Arabidopsis thaliana: one gene and its partner. The protein of the gene in region 1 interacts with the protein of each later gene in a pairwise test. Each region holds a gene or a part of one and is shown on either strand. Other genes may lie near its edges.

Region 1 (5,562 bases):
CTAAATTCATTGTGCTAGAGACATTACTGTTTGGTGGCTGTTGCAGCATTCCTGTAAGTTCATAAAGATAAAAAGTTGTTGGTATATTGTCAAGTCTAAACCGAATTCTTCTTATACATAGGTGGAGTTATAGTTTCTGTCTTTCTCACGGAAGAGCAGGAGTACCTGGACGTTGTAAGGCATGTGCTGCTATAATGGGAGAATGAGAAAAGGTATTTGCAGGTGGTCCACTTTTCATCTCTTTCTCAAGAGAGGAGATGGTGTCTTGATCAAAAACCTCCTTAGAAGCCCAAAACTGCAAAATCTTCTCCAAACGTGACTGGTTTTCTTCCTTGTTTTGTGGAAAGTGGTAAATCCTCCCCAGCATGGAACCCAAAATAGGTCTGAAAGCAAGAGCTTCATTGTCAAACTCGTGCAAGTTTGTCCTTCGTTGTAAACTGTATTTAAGGAAGCAATAAACATGAGAAAATATTAGGGCAGAAGAATCTAATGTTGCAACCCAAAATTTTGAAAGCACAGACTGAGACTCCTAATAATATAGAATGAACGAAAAACTAGTCTATGCCGAAGTCCTCTAGAATGATGTAAAGAGCGATCAGGGATGAAGTTTAGATACCTGTCGAAGAGAATGTCATTAGCTAGATAAACTATGTGCATCTGCCTATCAGAATCATCCATTGCAAAGACCCTGTCTCTAAGTGCCTCTGCTAAAGCTGGTGCAAAGGGAGATCTCTGCATGAACCAAATCTTAGCACTTTTAATAGACTCTTTCGTGCCATTAAGGTTGCCCAAGACACCATTTAGTTCCATTGCAACATCAGCAGGGAGTGGACCAGAAAGACCTCGGAACGCATGAGTTGACTGATCAAAATCAGGACGAGCATGGGGCGCAAAAGGATGAGGCTGCGGAAGATGCTGTTGGAGCTGGTGGTGGTCATGGAATGGTGGGAAAGGAGGTTGGCGGATTGGTGGCACAGCCAATGCACCAGGTACATTGTTCATTGAAGGACTCATCATGGGATTTGGCGGATGATGTATCATAGGCATTGAAGATGACGGGAATGGAGGATCAAAGGGTCCTCCAGGGGGATGCATAGAGAGAAAGTGCTTATAGCGGTAATAACCATGACCTTCACCCCCAAACAGAAACGCATAATCAGGATTATCCTTCTGTCTATCTCGCATCATAGCCTCAAACTCAGGACCGTTCTTAACCGAATACTCAACAAGCTTATCAATCCGTTTCTGCAGCTCTGGATCAGCTGGAGGAGGAGGAGGAGGAGCAGAATCATACGGTCCAGGGAATGGCGGAGGAAGGTGATGTGGAGGTAAGTGAGGAAGGAAAGCCTGAGGTTGCTGTTGACCAAACATCTGTGGGTGAGGAGGATGAGGAAGATGCTGCGGTTGCTGCTGCTGATGCATAGGATGCTGGTAAGGGAACTGCTGCATAGAAGGATGAGGAGGAATGAAACCAGAAGCATTCATTGGTGATGGATACTGAGGATGTTGCGGATGAAATCCGAATTGTGGTTGTTGTTGCTGTTGAAAGTTAGGACCTTGTTGCTGCTGTTGCTGAGCATAAGGTAACCCAGAAGAAGCAGCATAATCGTGCTGTCTTCGATCCATGTATATAAACTCTGTAACACTTGTGTTGTATAGATTCAGCTAAGTGTTCCTGAGAAGATTGTAAAAACAAAAGCTTTCGAAATTGGGCCATATAATTCAATACGAGAGAAGTAATTCCCAGAAGGTAATCAATATCTACGCAAAGAGAAACACCGAAACTATACACAGTGTAAATTGAAGAGTTTAACAAAAAAGCGACATCGCTTAAGAATCTGACTACACGACCCTAACAGCAAGAAAATCGAGAGAGCGAGACACAATACCTAGTTCAATCACTTACTAACAAAGAAGAACGCAACTTTCTGAGAAGAAAATAGTTGAATCGGATGGAGCAGAAGCTAAACGCACCTGAAGAAGAAGGACTGAAGGAGAGACCTTTACTCTGCTGCTAGGATCCGGAAGTTTTAATTGGGCCACGAAAAACCGACCCAAAAGTTTTAATTGGGCCACGAAAACCCGACCCGAAATCTATTTTGACTAATAAGAGTTGACCGGGTAATTTGGCGGATCTACTTGATCCTGATTTATACCCGACCCGAGTTAGAAGGCACTAAGCAGATAAACCCCAGAGACTGAGTAAACCCTTAAGAATTTCTTTACCAGACATCTCCGCCATTAACAAGATCTCTCTTCTTCTACTCGATTTATGATAAGCTACGGATTCACTCGTCGGATGATTTGAAAGTTTCTGAATCAAACAGAGTATTCTCAATGCAGAGAACCATCTCACTTGCGGCTGCTAAGTCTTCTTCTTCGACTTCAGTTCTGTCTCTTCATCCTCTCATGGCTAAGGTTTGTGTTTCGACTCTTACGCTGGTGAGATACTGAAATGTTAGATTCTCAATTTAAAAAGTTTGGTATTTTATGGCTAAATCATTATACTCTCGTCGTTTTCGTATTGAAATGGAGTCGAATTTGTTTCAGTGAGCTTCAATTTTTCGTTTATGTTATTTAGATGTGTTTGAAAATTCATCAGTAGAACTCATGGAGATTCTGACGATTACTTGTTTCTTTGTTGTTGCAGTTGCAGTGCAGGGCGATTCAAAATTTCCCAGCTTCCTCTTCCTCTTCAGTAGTTCGGGTCGATAGAGTGTATAGAAATGTATCCCAGCTTCAGTTTAAAAGAGAAAATTCAAGTTGTCTTAAGTTAGCTTGTGCACTTCCTTCGCATCTAAGTCTTCTCGGTTCTCTTAGTTATGCAACACATTGGAGCAGCTCCACTTCAAGGGCCTTTGGATATAGTTTCAGACCGTTTGCGAGGAGATATTTTTCTCAAGTCGCTAGTACTGAGATTAAGGATAGCATTGTTGGTGGTGTTGAAAAGTTTGGTGGGAATAAAATAGGTTTCAAGAAATTCAATAAGAAGTGGAAGAAGCATAGGGTTTTGGCTTCCACAAAAGCTGAAGTGGTGGCTTCTACTGAACCAGTTATTGGAGATGTTAACAGTGGCATCAAGGCGAAACTATCAACTGCAGCTTCACCTGCTAGCAATGCTAAGCAAGCCTCTACTGTCAAAACAAAACGGCAGCCAAAGAGCAAGAAATTCGAAGATAAATCTTCTCCAACGGTATCGGTTTTGGAGACCGTCTCTGTAGACGAGAGTTTGCAAAGCTTTCCCAAGCCTAGACATTCGGGTTCCGGAAATCGGAAGTCTTCATCTGCTGAGGTATTAAACTAGTAAAGTTTTTTGAATCATCGTCTTACCCTTGCTCATATCTTCTAACAGTACAGTTCTCAGAAGGAGGTGGTAAAAAAAACCAATGTGGAGGGGCCCAAAAGTTCTACTCCATCGAATTCCATGTCAGAACAACAGCATTGGACCTCAACAAAAGCAAGCAATGCACCAAAACAGGAGCAGGATAACATTGTTGGTGGTGATGAGAAGGCTGGTGGGAATAAAGTAGGTTTCAAGAAATTTAACAAGAACCGAAAGAAGCATAATGTGTTGGCTTCCTCAGAAGCTGAAGTGGTGACTTCTACTGAACCAGTTATTGGAGATGGTAGCAGTGGCATCAAGGCGGAACTATCCACGGCAGCCTCACCTGCTAGCAATGGTAATCAAGCCACTACTGTCAAATCAAAACGGCGCCCCAAGAACAAGAAAGTCGAAGATAAATCTTCTTCAGTGGTACCAGTTTTGGAGGCGGTCTCTCTAGATGAGAGTCCGATAAGCGTTCCCAAGCCAAAACATTCTGGTTCTGGAAATCGGAAGTCTTCATCTGCTAAGGTATTTGACTTTAATAGTTTTAGGACCGTAATAGTCTTACCCTTGCTTATTTTACCTAACAGAGTAACAGTACAATTCTCAGAAGGAGGTGGCAAAAAATCACCCTGTGGAAGAGCCCAAAAGTCCTGCTCCATCAAATTCCAAGTCGGAACAACAGCATTTGAAGTCAACTAAAGCAAGTAAGGCACCAAAACAAAAGCTGGTTCCTCAACACATGAAAAACAGCATAGAACATCGAGGTCAAAATGCATCTAAACCGCTTTATCCGCCAAGTGGAAAATCTGTTATTGTCGTTGAGTCAATGACAAAAGCAAAGATTATTCAGGGTTATCTTGGTGACATGTATGAGGTTTTGCCAAGTTATGGTCATATCAGGGACCTGGCCACAAGGTCTGGTTCAGTGAGGCCAGATGACGATTTTAGCATGGTTTGGGAGGTTCCATCTTCCGCCTGGACTCATATTAAGAGCATTAAGGTTGCATTAAATGGGTACGGTTTCTTGCCTAATCACTACTTTAAAAATCTATTGTTGCTATTATCTATATTCCTTAATTCTAGAATACTTTCCGGGTGTCAAAGTGCTGTACAGCTATTGAGATATGTGGCTTGTTCAAACTTGTATGATATGAACTACTTCTTTCCTATGGTTTTTCTTATTGTGCTTATCTATCTCATTATGTTTACCTTATTCCTCAGAGCTGAAAATCTGATTCTTGCATCGGACCCAGATCGTGAAGGAGAGGCAATTGCCTGGCACATTATAGAGATGTTGCAGCAGCAGGGTGCCTTACATGAAAGTATGACAGTAGCAAGGGTTGTATTCCATGAGATAACTGAATCAGCAATAAAAAGTGCACTTCAATCTCCACGAGAAATCGACGGGGACTTGGTGCATGCTTATCTTGCACGGCGTGCTCTTGATTATCTCATCGGATTCAATATTTCACCACTACTATGGAGGAAACTTCCGGGTTGCCCGTCAGCTGGGCGGGTCCAGTCTGCTGCTTTGGCTCTTGTATGTGATAGAGAAAGTGAAATTGATGGATTTAAGCCTCAGGAGTACTGGACTGTAGGAATCAAAGTGAAAGGGAAAGATAATTCAGCCACCTTTTCTGCTCACTTGACCAGTTTAAATTCAAAAAGATTAAATCAGCTTTCTATCAGCTCTGAAGCAAATGCACAGGACATTGAGCAAAGGATCAAATCAGAAGGTTTTCTAGTGAAGGGCACTAAAACAAGTACTACACGGAAGAATCCGCCAACTCCGTACATAACATCAACCCTTCAGCAGGATGCTGCTAACAAATTACATTTTTCAACAGCACATACCATGAAGGTTGAGAGCTAAAACCTTTTTCATTTTCATTCACTTTTTCCTTGAATTCATATTTCTAATAATAAGTACTTTGCAGCTCGCTCAAAAATTATATGAGGGTGTCCAACTGTCCGATGGTAAATCAGCTGGTCTTATAACATACATGCGGACAGATGGTTTACATGTGGGTTTATCTCTTTAATTGTGTATTTTCTGCTATGGGCATTCATTTTGTTTTGATTTTCAAAAATATTACTTTCTGACTGATTCATCTTATCTGTTACAACTTCACTTTGATTTTCCTTGATTCATTTGTTTCGTTTTTCATTTGTTTCTGTTCCCATCAGATAGCTGATGAAGCTATCAAAGATATACAGTCCTTGGTGGCAGAAAG
Region 2 (4,610 bases), on another chromosome or scaffold:
TCTTCTTGAAAACATGTACACGTATTTAATTATAAATGCATATATAAAGATCCTACCGACGAAAAAATAAAAAGATTGAAAACATGACATCTGCTTATCGTCCAAGAGTTATTGTGAATGGAACAAGAAGAACAAGAACGTTCCATTACTTCTATTGTCGCCATTGTAGCCGTACCATTAGGCTAAGAAGCTTTGGTCTATATGGTCCCATATGTCCTTTCTGTTCTAGAGAGATCAATCTTCACGATGAGCTTGACATTATGAGGCCAAGCCGACCTTATTGGGATAGTGATACCGATTGGATCACTCTCCATCTTATCAACGAACCAAGAAGTAACCGGTTCAATCATGATGATCTAGTTTATAATACTGACGAGGAATTCGCTGATGTCATGCCTAGTGTACAAATCGGTCCACCACCAGCCTCGCAATCCGCCATCGAGGCTGTAAGGACGGTGATAATCACGGATGAAGATTTGGTGAAAGAGAAGGTTTGTGCGATATGCAAGGAGGAATTTGAAGTTGGAGAGGAAGGAAAAGAATTGAAATGCTTGCATTTGTACCATTCAAGCTGCATTGTGTCTTGGTTGAACATTCACAACACTTGTCCCATTTGTCGTTTTGAGGTTAACTTAGGTGTTTCCGAGAGTAACGTAGACGAAGGAGGGTCTTACAACATCGACAATGATCGATCAAATCGGTTTCGGACTCGGGTTTGTTCTTTGTGGCCTCTCCGAATGATGATTGATTGGGTACATAATCTCATAGGTAAGATTCCACCTCCCGATATAGCTTTCATGGCTTTTCTATTATGCTTATACGGGTTTTGACTATGATATTTAACTCTTAAAAATATATACAATTTCGCAGATATAAGAATAACAAACTCTTGACAAAAAAAAATTAAAGAATTGCAAACAAGAATGTATGAAACTAGGAATATTATTGACTACATATTAAGTGTATTATGACTTATGAGAGAGAGGAGAAGAAACACACATCAATAAGAAACGACAAAAAAAAACTACATAAAGAGACAAAGAGGGTGATCATGAAAGGCTAGAAGCGTGTTTATTTCATGAAACAAAACTTTGGCATTAACAAGACTATATTTGCATTAATTATCTTTTATTCATTTGTAAGTTGTAACAACATGTAAATAAAAAATCTTGGTAATAAGGTTAGTCCTCTACTCTACTAGCTAGGGTTCCATGATCTCTCATAGTCTCTGAAAACGCTTTGTCTCCCTTTCTTTGTTTCTTTCTCTCTCGTGATCATCGAACACAATTTACTTAGGTATGGTTTGAATAGCCTCACCAACCCTTTTTATTTGCCGGTTATCTTATTTTTGGCCTGATTTTGTAAAGCCGAGTTTGTGCCTTCTCGGTTTGGTTTACTATAACCTTCATGTAGAGCTTCCCATGGACTTCTCTACTAAAGACTTAGGATGAGTCTTGTTGTACCATCTTTTATTGTCATGCATTCAAAAATACCAACAAAATTCTACTAAAGTACAACAGATCTCAAATGACAAATACGCAATCAACTATGATGGTCACCCAACCCAATTAAACCAATCTGAAAAAAAAGTGTGATAACCAATGAAAACTCGGCCCACTAAACAGGCCCAACAAACAAATAATAAACCCAAGAGGTGCTTCTTAATCGCCGATGCCTCTCTTCATCAAAATTCAAAATCACTTTTGTCTTTTCAAAAATCACAGCAAAATAATATTCAAATTCAAAATCTGTCCAAATTCATCTAGGGTTTCTGATAAAACAGACGAAGAAGATCCAAATTCGCTAACAATGGTGAGAATTTTATGAATTCCCAATACCCCAATTTTTAAAACCCTAATTTTGTCTGTTGTGGGATTGTGTTGATGCCTGAGTTTTTCTGAATTTGTATTACTGATTGATGATCAGGGAGGTGAAGGAGAAGATCTAGAGCCACTTTTTGATTATCGTCGTGTTCAGCCAGCGAATTTCGTTTGTATCGATGGTGAGTTTCGATTATTTGATTTGGTCACTGAGCTCGACACTCGACAGTGATAAAGATGAATCCTTTATTATCGCTTGAATTTTTGTAGATGATGATGATGATGCCTCGGTGACGCCAATTCCGAAGAAAGCGAAAACTTCACAAACAGTAAGAATTGATTTTTATTGATTGGTTGTTGTCTCATTGAGCTCTTTGTGTTAACTTGATAGATACTTTTGGTATTGTGGGCTTGTAAAGAGTTTTGAATCAATGTCAGTGAAGGAACAATTCGATTATGTACTTCACAATTCATAGGTTGAATCTATCATCATTCCTTTTGGAACTTGAATCTTTTTATATAGGTTGAGAAGTTAGATGATGATGTGAAAGTGATTGAAGTTACGGGTGATGACGATTGGTTGCTTCCTCCACCAAAGGTTATCTTCGACAAAAGTAAAGACTCTGTTGAAGATTCAACTATTAAAGCATTGAGGTAACTTTTGTATGTCTTTGAGTATTTCTCATCTCTAAGCTTCCCATGTTGCTGTTAGAGGCTATGGTAGTGTTATTTGCTATCCGGAAAGAGTCCCAGTGTTACAATTTGATTATAAATGAAATATGTAACGTAGGTCGAAGAAGATGGAGCTCATGTCATTTACAAAAACTGTAGGAGATGTGATGCAGGAAGTTGAGGAGTCTGCTAAAAGGGAAGTTGAAGAATCTCGCAATCCATCTTCAGAGACTGCTGCTCAGTTACCATCAGAGCCTACGAATGACAGGGCCAAGATTGTTATTACAATACAGGACAAAGATGGACAGAAGACACTCCGGGTGTTTGCGGTAAGTTTTTTCACTGCTTGCCACTTACTATCCAACCTTCCATCGACAATAAGCTTACTATCCAAACTTTTTCTAGCTAGATACTAGATATTTAGTAGAGATAAGAATTAGTTGTTATGTCACCTTCGCTACTATCTAGATAGCTAGATATTTCGAGCTTTCTAGGAAAGCAAGAGTATAAATACAGGGATTAAAGAAATCATTGAATGGGGTCGAGTATTTGAGACGTGTATTAGTTGATGGATCTTTAAACTATTCTTTGAGTTCATCTAATAAACTAGAGAACGAGTTCATGTTCTTATCAATGTATCATCACCACATAGCATTTACACACAGAATACATATTGCTTGCTCTCTGTCATACAATGAGCCGCTCATTAATAGATATGCATATTCTGTTAAAGCTTGTAAAATATGAGAATGTTGATTTGGTATTTACCATTTTCTTGTAGGACGAGAAATTTGAGAGGGTTATCAAACTGTATACAGATAAAGCTAAGCTTGACCCGCAAAATCTTGTATTTATTTTTGACGGTGATAAGATTGATCCATCAACCACTCCTTCTGAACTTGGCATGGAGGATCATGATATGATTGAAGTGCACACCAAAAAAACTTGACAAATAGGTAACTTATGAAGTCCTCCACATCTTTCTTCTTGCTCTTATTGTGATATGATGATAACTCATTATCTTCGATTGAATTCAAGTCAGGCGCTAATCGGAATCTGGAATGTCAAATCTGTTCCATCTTTTGCGAAAAACCAGAGTTTTGTACATCAACATGGGCATGGGAAGGGATCTCTCTGCTAACATCTGGTGTTTGTATCTGTGACCTTTCTCATTTTATCGGAATTTTGTTTCTTTCTTTCTTTCACTCTTTCTGTCACTCTTTATTAGGCGTGTATAATATATAAGGTAAACCAAACCATTTTGATTTTAACTAATCCTATTGAATCCAATCTAAAAATCTAACTAAACTTTTGTTTGGTTTTAATCGTTATGCTTTCTCTATCTCTTGAGAAACATAAATATATATCTCACTAATCTAAGACAAAACTAAAACTATTGTATGTATAATCAGTATTGCTTTTTACTAACTGACAAAAACTGGAATCAATGGTAAATCGGTTAAATTCGGTTTAGTGTACTTTTTCCTTTGTTTCTTAGTAAATGTCGTTTTACACTGATATTTTTTATATTCAAATATAGTCTCATGACTCTAATATTTCTTGTTTTGTAACATTAGCTTTTAATATAATCTTGATAGAAAAGAAAACATCACATTAGTCATTAATAAAATTCTTAAAAATGTAAAATTATAAGAATTAACACATTCAAGTACTATTTATGTGTTTTAGTTCATGTGAAAAATAATAAAACCAATTAACGAACTAACCAAGTCGGATAATTGTAGTTTTTGTTTGGTCCGGAGTTAGCTACGACATGTGGCATACAATAATTGGTTAGGAAAAGCTAAGCTTTAAGAGTTAGAGATGATGGGTCGTGAAAGAAGAAGCTGTCACAGTGGCACATACGTCCGTGGCTTCCCCATATCTCACGTGCATACGGATAACGTAATCACCATTTTTTCTAAGTCCCCACCCAAATATCTACGTGGCTTTGCCACGTCATCCTAACCAAACCGACGGATTTGTTCAGATAATATGAAAAAGCTCCTAAAAACAGACAGAAGAAGCTTTTGTCACCAATCTCTGATCTTTTTAGTTCTCTTATCGGTAAAAACTTATTCTTCTCTTTTTGTTCGATCTGTGATCTCTAATAAACTA

The links. Proteins that work in one complex are often made in the same cells at the same time.
Region 2: the proteins of AT4G31210 (region 1) and AT1G68185 interact in a two-hybrid assay, tested with the Arabidopsis thaliana proteins (one study listed by BioGRID).

The regions. Positions count from the first base shown.
Region 1 is NC_003075.7:15,162,943-15,168,504, forward strand, and holds the start of AT4G31210 (DNA topoisomerase, type IA, core), read left to right. Parts: upstream 1-2,192; 5' UTR 2,193-2,337; coding exon 2,338-2,418; intron 2,419-2,650; coding exon 2,651-3,292; intron 3,293-3,352; coding exon 3,353-3,853; intron 3,854-3,935; coding exon 3,936-4,342; intron 4,343-4,549; coding exon 4,550-5,189; intron 5,190-5,265; coding exon 5,266-5,352; intron 5,353-5,515; coding exon 5,516-5,562. Other genes in the region: AT4G31200 (SWAP (Suppressor-of-White-APricot)/surp RNA-binding domain-containing protein), read right to left, coding at 1-51, 166-437, 617-1,626.
Region 2 is NC_003070.9:25,554,733-25,559,342, forward strand, and holds AT1G68185 (Ubiquitin-like superfamily protein), read left to right. Parts: upstream 1-1,650; 5' UTR 1,651-1,671; coding exon 1,672-1,812; intron 1,813-1,926; coding exon 1,927-2,002; intron 2,003-2,090; coding exon 2,091-2,149; intron 2,150-2,343; coding exon 2,344-2,474; intron 2,475-2,610; coding exon 2,611-2,821; intron 2,822-3,273; coding exon 3,274-3,441; 3' UTR 3,442-3,448; exon of another isoform or gene 3,449-3,534; 3' UTR 3,535-3,801; downstream 3,802-4,610. Other genes in the region: AT1G68180 (RING/U-box superfamily protein), read left to right, coding at 84-768, 871-893; BBX27 (B-box zinc finger family protein), read left to right, coding at 4,488-4,559.